Linked DNA regions of Drosophila melanogaster. The protein of the gene in region 1 interacts with the protein of each later gene in a pairwise test. Each region holds a gene or a part of one and is shown on either strand. Other genes may lie near its edges. The genes, in order: FoxL1, bab1 and Usp20-33.

Region 1 (3,755 bases):
GGTAGTTTCCCTGTTCGAACATGTCCGATGCCGATGAGTCCAGCATCCAGTAGCTTCCCTTCCCAGCACTGTCGTTATCCTCGATTGTGTTCTTGTCCCGCGGAATCTTCACGAAGCAGTCGTTGAGGGACAGATTGTGGCGAATGGAGTTCTGCCAGCCCTGCTTGTTCTCCCTGTAATATGGGAATCTAAAAAATAATTGGATATTATCCAATTAATTAATTAATTAGGAGCTATATTTCCTTGACATTTTTATCAAATTTTGAAAGGGTAAACATATATACTTTATTTTCAATAAATTAACAATGGAAAAGATATTTTATAAATATAAATCGAATGCGTGTTTATCAAAACTATTTACTTCAGAATTTCACAGCTTTGAATATCTGAATTTGTATATATAAAAATCATTTTACAATCTGAAAAACTTGCTGTTGATACACATCTTATTAGCCCATATCTATATCCTCCGCTGGTTTGTTTAAATCAAGCGATTTGAAAAAGCAATAAAAATAATATTTGTTTATGTTGATAAAGAAATCGGAAATATTTAGTTTACAAACACATTGTTCATTTTCCTGTTTTTCAAATTACTTGCGATCTATTTTATATATCTGGCCGCCATTTTTTATGCACTCTGTTCATTCAGGAAAGGAAATATATACATATATATTTTAATATTTGTTAAAGATATGACTAATAAATTTAAGCCAATAAATGAAACCATTTCATATGGATAATTACCAAGTAATCTGCGTGATATTTATATATTTTCACATTAAGAAATTGGATTAATGCTCCATATTTCACCGACTTAATCCCAGTTGTGGCAAAAGTTTCGTGATAAAAACTTCTTCTCGGGATAAAAACTTCTTTGGTTTGTACAGATACTTGGAATGTGGCGGTTGTTTATTTTGGCATTTGATTTAGCCAAGAATGTCATCTAAATTTTCCTCGATTTAAGACAAGGCGGAACATTTATTTTTGTAGGATTGTAAAAACAAGAGCTTTAGTAGAATATATGTACAGAAATTGGAAATTTTATTTGCTGATTTACAAACTAAATTCACTTATTGATCTATCAAAGATCTCGTATTTTTGTATTGTTCAATTAACTTACTTATCCATGATAAACTTGTAGATTCCACTGAGGGTCAGTCGCTGGTTGGGTGCACTGCTGATGGCCATGGCGATGAGGGCAATGTAGGAGAAAGGAGGCTTTTCCGGTCGATGGGAGTTGTGCAGAAAGGATATAGGCAATCCCCAGATGTTGTTGTGCAGGGCCAGAAAGCTATCGATGCCCTGGTAGTAGAAGGCCGGTGAAAACGATCCGCACATCAGACCCTCCATGCCCGCACCTCCGACGGCACTTGGAGCCAGCGGATTGGGTGACACCTGGGTCCTGAGATAATCCGGATTCGCTAGCATGGAGTTGACCAGCTCCTCATTATCCGGCAGCATCGATCCATTGGCATAGCAAGAGGGTAACATTTTTCAAAACGAAATCCCAGTAACTTGATTCAAAGTTCTTTTATACTCTTTATGTATCTTTCGGGAACTTTGTTTCGAATATCACTTCACATTAACTTGTTAGATATTTAGGATTTTTGTCCTGTTTTCCGGTTAGCTGTTACTTCCGATTTTGTGGGCGATTCGAGCGCGACTGTGGACCATGTGTTGCGTCAGCCAAGAAGTCCGATCGACTAATGAATGAACTCGGATACGCAGATCACTTGTAATGCCTCATCCCAATCTTATGGGTGTGTGTTTTTGGGGGAGAGCAGCGCATTGGTCTATAAATATAGGGATATGCAAACACCCTCACCAAAAGATCCACACATGCGTAAGTTCTCAGAGAGGGGAAAACAATTTTCCTTGAAAAATTTAAATTTTATTAAGGAAGAAATTGAATAAATTGAAATATGAAATAAGTATAATATATTTGAGATTATTATGTTATAATATAATAAGATGATGTTGTTAATATTTAAGTGTATTCAGTTATTAACTTTGTAGTACTAGATTTAGATTGATTATATCATTACTAATTAATATCCTTGCTTATACTATATCTTTTTCGCATATACCCGTTATATGGCAGATCTCTCTTTTGAGGGGGCGTTCCTACAAATATGTTCTCTACTCTTTCCATGTTTATTTATGTCCATTCTCATTTGCCTGTATTTTCCTCGATGGGCGGAGTCAAGACCTTTTCCCCATGTGTGAGTGAGTGTGGGAGAGTCCCAGTGTGTTTTGAATAATATGTAGATTTTGATTTTTCAACAAATGAAAATCGAGCAAAGTTTACACTTGAATTACGGGCACTTGAAAGGGAATTTTTAAATCTTTGGAAATAATGTAAAGCTTCTAGGATCTCATGCGTACATCGTTAGTCCCAGTTATTAAAAAAGATTATACTGCAGTATTATGATAGGTTACATATGTATGTATGTAATCATTGCGTGAGTTAGTCACTAATTTAGCCTTTTTCTGGCTTGAAAAAGTTCATTTAGATGTTTAATCATTTTATAACTTTCAAATCTCTTGATAGCACTCACTAAAGAGCTTTGATAACTCGTCAGTTCAATTGGTTTGTAAACATTATTTAAATAAAGCGATTCCAAGAAGCACTCCGTTTATACATTCCACCGGATAGCAGCTGGCAAGATAATGCCAGAAGTCGGCATTATCTGGTCCCTTGACATCCCATGCTATCTCGTGGCAGTTGCCTTCCGATTTTTACGACTTTTCCGAGCGAACGAAGGAAAGCGAGAGTAAACTCGCGGCAGTCAAGTACGCAATTTTCCGAATGCAACCGAAAGTCTTGGTCTATATCTTAAAAGGTCGTAAAACAATTGTGTATACATTTCAAACAGGACTACGCTCGATTTTTACGATCGTTCCGTTCTCAAGTAGAAAGCAGAGATCATTTGAAAGAAATAAAAACATTGAACGCAAATCGAAGAACTGAAAATCCAAAATGCCCGAAGCAATTGAAGTTCACATGTGTGGATGATGCCAATGCCACAAAGGATTCTTCACGCTCTCTCCCGATTTATTCAAATTTTACGATCGCTTACCGCTGGTGAGAATGGGTCATAAAACAATGGGTTATCCTATGGCCCATGGTCCTCCGATTCTCTCGAAGATGTCGCTGCCCTGCGTGTTTAGCTTGCTTATTTTTAGACCTATGCTGGGAATAGTATTGGAAACAAATATTGTTTTTTATGGCCCAGCTCGGTTTGGTCTGATTTCGTCTTCGAACACCGATCGATGTTTTTCGTTGTGAAACTATGTTTTCCTATGCATTTCACCGCATCTTTTTTGACATATCCCTCGCACTAAGCCATAAAACGCCTCGGATCCTGTTTATTTAGTCGCAGCGCAGCTCCCCAACCGCAACTTAATCGCTGTGTGTAATCGCGTAGTTATAGTTATAGTTTAGTGCGTGACTACCGGTGTTGTTGTTCACGTTGTCATCGCTTGATTTATGCTGTGAACTGCTTGCATTTAGCTGAGATACATTACAGTAGAGCCTCGAGAGAAAGCGACATGTTACATCGCTCGACTCTTTTGCATGTTAAGATACTCAAAGTTTAGTTACTTCAAATCCGCTGTGTTAAGATTGTTAGCCAAACTTAGGTACTTGGGTACTCCCCGTACAGTGCCTGTTTATGAAGCTCCACTGTAAGATTTTCAACTTCAGGCACACTTTGCGGCAAATACACTCGGAGTGCCGCCAGTCGACACCTTGT
Region 2 (3,755 bases), 2.9 Mb from region 1:
CAGAATTGAAGAGTCTTCTCTTAACTGGCATATGTACTAACTTAGAAAACGATTCACAACATATGAATAATTGAAAACAAAAGTACGAAAGTTATCTTTAAGGAAGATGAAATACAAAGATAAACGTGAAATTTAAGTTGCTTAGATTCACTCACCCTTTCTTCCTCTCGGATCATCTCGGCGATCCCTGGCTTGATCTCCAAGTCATCGGCGAGCGAGGATCCCCCGCCTGAACCCACTCCGCCTGCACCTCCTCCTCCAACTCCCCCGCCGCCCACTCCACCACCGCCATGGTGGTGCGGCGGTGGAGGCGGAAGGCGTGGCTCGGCGGACGGACCTGGTCCCAGGCCACTCAGTTCCCTGGCAGCGGCCATGGCGGCTGCTGGGCCGAGGGGAAAACGGGAATCTCCAGCAGGCGATGCCGGGTGGTGGGCTGATCCGGCGGTCTGGGAGGGATGTGGGGCGGGTGATGCGTGATGGTGCGGATGCAGGGGCAGGGGCAAAGGAAGCTGACCCTGCTGCTGTGCCTGCTGCTGCTGGGGGCTCTGCGAGTGAGGTCTCGACGATCGGGACAGAGGTCCTGGCGTGGCAGCCGGCGATGGCATGTCCAGGGCGTGGATGGCGGTCTCCAGGCGCCTCGTGGCTCCCACTGTGGAGCCACTGCTCATTGGTGGTTTGGGTGGGGGTGTCATCAGCGAACAGTCCCTCTGTCTCTCTCTTTCCTTTTGCTCCAGCTCCATCCTTTCGGCCGCAATCAGGCTGCTCAGTGGACTGGGTGGTGCGGGTGGATTGAATATTGTGTCCGCCGATGGCCACCGGCGCTTTCTTACATTCCTGCCCTGCTGCCGCTCCAGTGGGGAGAGCCTCAGCTCAGCGGGATCCCAGTCCGAAGTGCGTAGCTTCTTCTCGGGCTGCATGAAGGCCAGCAGCTCCTCGGCCTCCCGTTCCCTGTCGTGTTCAGTTCTGGAAGTTGAAGTGCTCTCCTTGGGCGAGGAGGGCATTCTCTCCGACGAAGCGGCAGCCGCTGCTGCCGTGGCCGCCTCCATATGGGTCACATCCGCCAGACCACGCACTTTCAACATCTCAGCTATCCTGAGCAGAGGACCTATCTGGTCCTGGCTCACGTTGATCTCGCCGCGATACATGAACTCCACAATGGCCTTGAGATCCGACCAATTTACGTCCCGCATGATCACAATGGGATGCTGGCAGGGCGTTTCGGCCAGAAGTGTTTGGAAGTAGGGCGAGCAGGCGGACAGGACCATCTTGTGGGCCTTCATGGACCGACCATCGCATGCCAAGGTCACGTCCACGAAGCACTCGTTCTGGAGCAGCTGGTCAAAGATGGTGGTCAGGTTCGTCTGATAGTTGTTCCAGCGCAGGCAGAATTGCTGGGAGCTGGAACTGGGCGAGGCTACCGAAGAACTCCTGCCCTGTGGCGAACTGACGGGCGAAGATCCTCCCCCTCCGGCTACAGCATGACCTTGACTCTCCTTGTCCTCGTCCTTGGCCCCGCCAGTTGGTGAAGTGCGATCCTCGCTTTTGATACGCTTCTCCTCCTGCTGAGTGGGCGAGCTTCTGTTACTCTTGGGCGAATCGGCGCCCGATCCCGTCCCTTTGCGCTGCCTCTGAGCCACTGGTCCCTGTTCGGACGCCAAGCCGACATTCGTCTCCGCCTGCGCCGACGCCATTTTGTCTGCAGCTGATCGTTGATCGTTGATCGTTGGATCACCGGCGATCGTAAACGTTACGCGATCGTTATTCGTTACGCGATTCGCTCTTCACATAGCGTTTAAGGAATAAGCATTCAAAAGAATCCGCGACAATTACGACGCTCAACTGAGAGTGGGCATGTACATGTGCGTATCTGTGTGCGTGCCTCTGTCTCTCTGTGTGTGTGTGTGTGTGTGTGTGTGTCTGGGCGTGTGTGTATGGGTGTTTAACGTATTCGTTACGTTACGCGCACTACGTGGCCATTTGGCAATTAGCCCGCCGCCTCGTTCTTTCAGTTCGATTCGGTTCTCGTCGTCGTGTCCAGTGTTATTCAGTGTGTGCTTTCAGTTCCGTTTCTGTTTCTGTTTCGGTTTCAGTGTTCTATGGCTGTATTGGCCAACAAACAGGGCCAAAAGTCTTCTCAGCACGAGCGTCTGAATTAGACTGAAATCGTTTTGCACATTTTGATACGGAAAAACTCAAAACAAACTTAACACACGACGACGACGATGGCCCACGACGACGTGGATGTGGATGTGGATGTGCGGCTGTGGCTGTGGCTGTGGCAGTGCCTGTGCCTGTGCCTGTGGAAAGCTGAGGGGCAACGTTGATGTTGCAGCAACGGCAACGGCAACAGCAGAAGCGGCAGCAACAGCAACATCAGCAGCAACTGCTACTGCTACTGCTTTGTAGTTGTTGCTCTCAGGCTGCGACTGAGTTCGCGACGAAGTTGCGAATAGTTCGCGAACTGCTCTGCCGGCGCTGCGAAAGGAAAATGCGACGTAGGCAGCGCCGCTTGGCTGAGAACCGACGGCAGAGACAACGACCGAAGCAGCGGCGAGCCCGTTGAAAATGGCTGAAAACGGCGAGCTGTAGGCGCCAAAAAACGCCGGCTAACGGCACCGCATTCCTTTGCTCCTGCGCTGCGTTTTGGCTCTCCTCGAGCTCAACATCGGAATCGGCTTCGCTCGTCCTTCGTCCTTCGTCCTTCGTCGGCCTGCTCGACGCACTCGAACTCGTCCTCGTCCTCGTTCTCGGCCTCTCGCCGTTGCAACCCCCAAAATTTTGGCGCTTTGCCGCCGCACAACTACCGTTGCGTAAAAAGGATGCGTCGCTGCAAGTGGCAAGTGGCAAGTGTGCGTGCGTGAGGAAACGGAAGTTGCCCCGAAAATGCAGCGGAGAGCGACGGCGATTGCGATTGCGATTGCGATTGTGAGTGCGAGTGCGAGTGCGGATTCGAGCTTAGGCCTAATATTTTTCGGAGGTGCTTGGCAGGAGAGGGTGTGGACGAGCCCCATCGACCAGTACCCCTGGCACAAAATAGAGGAACACATCTAGGTGGTCTTCAGGAATTGGGAATGCGGCGAAAATAGTGCTGAGTTTGCCGATTATTTAGGTGATGGATATTATATATCTTATTAGGGTTCTTTTAAAAGCTTAAATTTAAGTGAAAAAATTGAAAAAATTGAAAATTATTAAATAAAATATTTTAATTATTTTTAGAATATTGGAAATCGATATTCATATGTATGAATTGCTTGTAACATTTGTAGTATGAGCATTTTGCGAGAAGTGCAGATTAGTGATCATTAGGTCTTTCGAAGCACATTCCTCTCTCTTTCTATTCTTCCCAAGCCATTACTCTTTCTCCCTCACGCATTCCACCTCATCCGACTGAGAAACAAAACTCGGCTGAAAGATGCTTCATTAATTAGTTCCGTTCGAGGTGTACCCCACACAGCCCCCCCTTCGAAAAACCATCACGAAAAACTCTCTTCGCAGTCGACGTCGCTGCCAGTCGTGCATTGTAAACAAATGCTTAGGCGAAATCAAGATGTGCGGCGAATTGGCTCTCTCTCTTTCGCGAGAGAGTTGGCTGGCGCTTTTCGCCTAAGAGACGTTTCTCTTTCTTTCAGCTGCACCTGCAGTTTTCCACTAGTTTTTCTCGCTCTCTTCATGAGTAGTGGTGATGGGCATTTGGGGGGGTGCCGAGTGGCCGAAGGGGCGGAGGGCGGGGCACTATCGTTTCAGACTGGTCAGCC
Region 3 (3,755 bases), on another chromosome or scaffold:
TGGCCACCTCGCTCTTGCAATCCTTGTGAATGTACGGCCGCATGTCGAAGCCCTCCAGCGGAAAGTAAACGTCCGAGGAGATTTTTGAACTATAAGAAAGATCGTTGCGAAACCGCTTCAGGTGGATACACAAAACCTCTGGCAAGGTGAGGACGCGGGAGTACTTTATTCCCGTCCGAAGTTTGTTGCAGCGCTCGCAGCTGAAAAGTACATACACTGATTGATTGAAACGCCTATATATCCTAAAGGATCTTCTCACCTGTACATGTTGTCTCCCTTCAACTCATCCGCGCTGAAAAAACTGGCCATGCAGTCGTAGAGCGTCACCGAGGGTCCGTAAATCCAGGAGCGCAGCATATTCCACATCCAGGACAGCCAGCCTTCGTTGGTCCTAGCGGAAGTTTCAGCGGCATTCAAACTTTGCACGCTTAAGCTATGGGTTTGATGAAGAACGTTCAGAAAATCACGATTGGGAATGGGCAGCGAGAGATCCTGGAATGTTTCCTCGCGTGTGGACACACGATCGCAGGTCAGGCACTGCACCGAGGACAAAAGCTTGCCATCGAACACGTCGCTGATTATTGAGCGCGCTGCTTCTATAGGTTTCTGTTCGGCGGAGGAGGCATTTTTTTGCTGATGCTGCAACGGTGCCTGCTGCAATTGCACCGAATGGCCTTCTGGCAGCCCACTGTTGGAACCATTTGTCCGACAGGGCGTTACAAAGTACTCTGTCTTTAGCAACACCTCTGCCGATCGCTCCGACATGCTGCTTTCACAGGTGTCGTATTCGCTTTCGGATGCATGTGACAAGGACGCAGGCGCTGCCTCATCATCGTTTTCGTCATCCGTTTCGCTGGGCTGCTGCTGCTGAAGTGACTGGTATTGCGGCTGATTCTGCGTCTGCGGCAGCATTGAGACCTGCTCTGTCAGCTCCTCGTGCAGCTGGTCCATGAAGCACCGCAAGAACTCCTGGGTATCGTGTTGCTGATAGCCCCGAAACATGGGATGAACCGTGCGAATGCCATACAGAATACCACGCGGGGCAATAAACTCTGTAAAATCTCAAACTTTAGTAGGTTTTCCGATTAAGAGAGGGTGAAAGGCTGAACCTTTGGGATCATCGACATCCTGCCAGATTTCCTGCATCAAGCGACGATAACTCTTGGCCAGCCCGCCGGGCTTGCAGCGACGTGCGCTCTGCTCTGCTATGTACTCCACAAGGTCGCTGCAGTTGATAAAGTAGTGTGTCATCGGCGGCAAATTACTCAGTGCCTGTAGTGCCGAGTTCATATAGCAGGTATTCGCAATGTTCTGCAGGCCCACGAGTCCCGTGCCCGAGCCCTTTGCTGTGTCTGTGCCCTCACTGTCACTGGCGTTCGAGTCCTCGCGCCGTGCAAGCGATTTTAGCGATCCGCTGAAGAGTTTGTCGTGACATCGGCTGCTCCTTGGATCACCCATGGCATACCCGTTCGCCAGCTGACCGAGAAAAAATCGAAAGTCATGTAATCGAGCATTAAACAATGCCTACAAATGCGACAGTTCGCCTGGAGCGGAATTCTCCCCCACACCTTACCGTGTGGCCCTGGCTGCTGTGTATGGTGCGGTTGCGGTGCTCTACATATGGATTGTGCGGATTTGGGTTGGAACTCAAACTCATTATAGTTCCCTAGCTGCCAGTATTTTGTTTTTTTTTTATATTTTAATTGAGAATTTTGATTGGAAACGACCGCAGAAAAGGCGTTTGCGATTTCGGATGGTGTTTTTGGTATTGTCCGTCAGTGTGACCGAAGCAAAAAACCGGGAGTCAAGCGGATATTATTCGTCTAATATTTAGATGATTTAGAACGCGTATGAGTATCGACTTAGAATAAATTTTAAAATTTAGACCAAACCAATTAAAATTTATAAGTATAAATAATTTAAACATACATCATAATTTTTTCCAATACGATACTTCTGGTTAAGAGCATCGCTGGCGTGCCATCCCCACTGTAAGACCTTCGGCCACACTTATTTGAAACTCGGGAAAAAAAAACGCAGAAAATAGTCGAAAATGTGTATACAAAAAGTGTAACTAAGCGTTTTCATGAGTGATAAGGGCCAAGAGTTTACTGCTAGACGTTCGAGCGGCCAGTGACAGGCCTGGTTTAGTCGTACCCAAACCGGAATGGGTGATGCCTCATAGTTTTTTCTGCATCTGCTGGCGGAGATTCGACTACCCCCTCCGCTGTACAAGGTAAAACGGCCCTGCCTTTCCGCATTCCCTTGTGTAACAGCCCTGCTTTTGCGATGCTCCTGTTGGGAATCGAATGTAAAAAGGACTCATTCAAATGAATCATTAATTGGGAGCAGGCGATGAGTGTGCAAGTGCCCCTGTGGGATGGGCTACTGCTCAGCGTCATTCAGGCCGCTAGCTATTACATCAATAAGTTCATGAAGCAGTATTTTGCCAGCGAAACATCCCGTGTACGAAATAATAGAACTCTATAATTATAGTTTTAGCTAATCGCGGATAGTTGTGCCTGGCCAACACGCAGGCCGTTGGAAGAGTGCCAAGGAGCCATCATGACGCTGGAGACGCAGCCCGTTGGCGGGGTGAGCGACGGCAAGATCGCTGGTCTTTATGATCTGGAGGAGACACTGGGATCCGGACACTTTGCCGTCGTGAAGTTGGCCCGGCATGTGTTCACCGGTGCCAAGGTGGCGGTCAAGGTAGTGGACAAAACCAAGTTGGACGATGTGTCCAAGGCGCATCTGTTCCAGGAAGTGCGGTGAGTAGCTATAACAATCAATCCACAATTTTTTTTTCAATAATCCCGCTGCACTTATAAACTCCAGATGCATGAAACTGGTGCAGCACCCAAATGTTGTGCGACTGTACGAGGTTATTGATACCCAGACCAAGCTGTATTTGGTTTTGGAGCTTGGCGATGGTGGCGATCTATACGATTACATAATGAAGCACGACTCTGGGCTCAGCGAGGAACTGGCCCGAAAGTATTTCCGCCAAATCCTACGTGCTATCACGTACTGTCATCAGCTTCACGTGGTTCACAGGTGAGAGCGCGCTCTAACTGATAGTACGGCGTATTGTGCCGATCACTGATTTACGTAACATTCAATTCTCCTACAAAGGGATCTAAAGCCGGAGAACGTGGTGTTTTTCGAAAAGCTGGGCCTTGTCAAGCTCACCGACTTCGGGTTTAGCAACAAGTTCTTGCCGGGCCAAAAGCTAGAAACCTTCTGCGGCAGCTTGGCCTACTCGGCCCCAGAGATCCTGCTGGGCGACTCCTATGATGCGCCTGCAGTTGGTATGTAGACAACTAATATGTCCCATAACCCTTTGTTAATCATTTTATCTGATTTGTTTAGACATTTGGTCCCTGGGAGTAATTCTGTATATGCTGGTCTGCGGTCAGGCGCCTTTCGAGAAGGCCAACGACTCGGAAACTCTGACCATGATCATGGATTGTAAGTACACGGTACCCTCGCACGTGTCCACTGATTGTCGGGACCTGATTGCCTCAATGCTGGTGCGGGATCCAAAGAAACGGGCCACTGTGGAAGAGATTGCTTCATCGGCTTGGCTAAAGCCCATCGATGAGCCCGATTCGACGACCTCCACCTCAGAGCACTTTCTGCCTTTGGTCAGTCGCGAACAGCTGGGCGAAGAGGATCACGCCTTTATCATACAAAAAATGATAAACGGAAACATTGCGTCCAAGGAAGAGATATTGCAGTGAGTACAATAGCAC

What was found.
Region 2: the proteins of FoxL1 (region 1) and bab1 interact in a two-hybrid assay, tested with the Drosophila melanogaster proteins (one large-scale study listed by BioGRID).
Region 3: the proteins of FoxL1 (region 1) and Usp20-33 interact in a two-hybrid assay, tested with the Drosophila melanogaster proteins (one large-scale study listed by BioGRID).

What each region holds. Positions count from the first base shown.
Region 1 is NT_037436.4:4,016,830-4,020,584, reverse strand, and holds the start of FoxL1 (forkhead box L1), read right to left. Parts: upstream 1,708-3,755; 5' UTR 1,492-1,707; coding exon 1,121-1,491; intron 189-1,120; coding exon 1-188. UniProt on the Drosophila melanogaster protein: Transcription factor. Coordinates the placement and migration of various organs during embryogenesis, including the salivary glands, hemocytes, germ cells and Malpighian tubules.
Region 2 is NT_037436.4:1,098,946-1,102,700, forward strand, and holds the start of bab1 (bric a brac 1), read right to left. Parts: upstream 2,145-3,755; 5' UTR 1,692-2,144; coding exon 156-1,691; intron 1-155. UniProt on the Drosophila melanogaster protein: Probably acts as a transcriptional regulator. Required for the specification of the tarsal segment. Also involved in antenna development.
Region 3 is NT_033778.4:14,237,932-14,241,686, reverse strand, and holds the start of Usp20-33 (ubiquitin specific protease 20/33), read right to left. Parts: upstream 1,756-3,755; 5' UTR 1,658-1,755; coding exon 1,574-1,657; intron 1,477-1,573; coding exon 1,110-1,476; intron 1,053-1,109; coding exon 260-1,052; intron 201-259; coding exon 1-200. Other genes in the region: Snrk (SNF related kinase), read left to right, coding at 2,566-2,771, 2,839-3,057, 3,136-3,311, 3,373-3,739.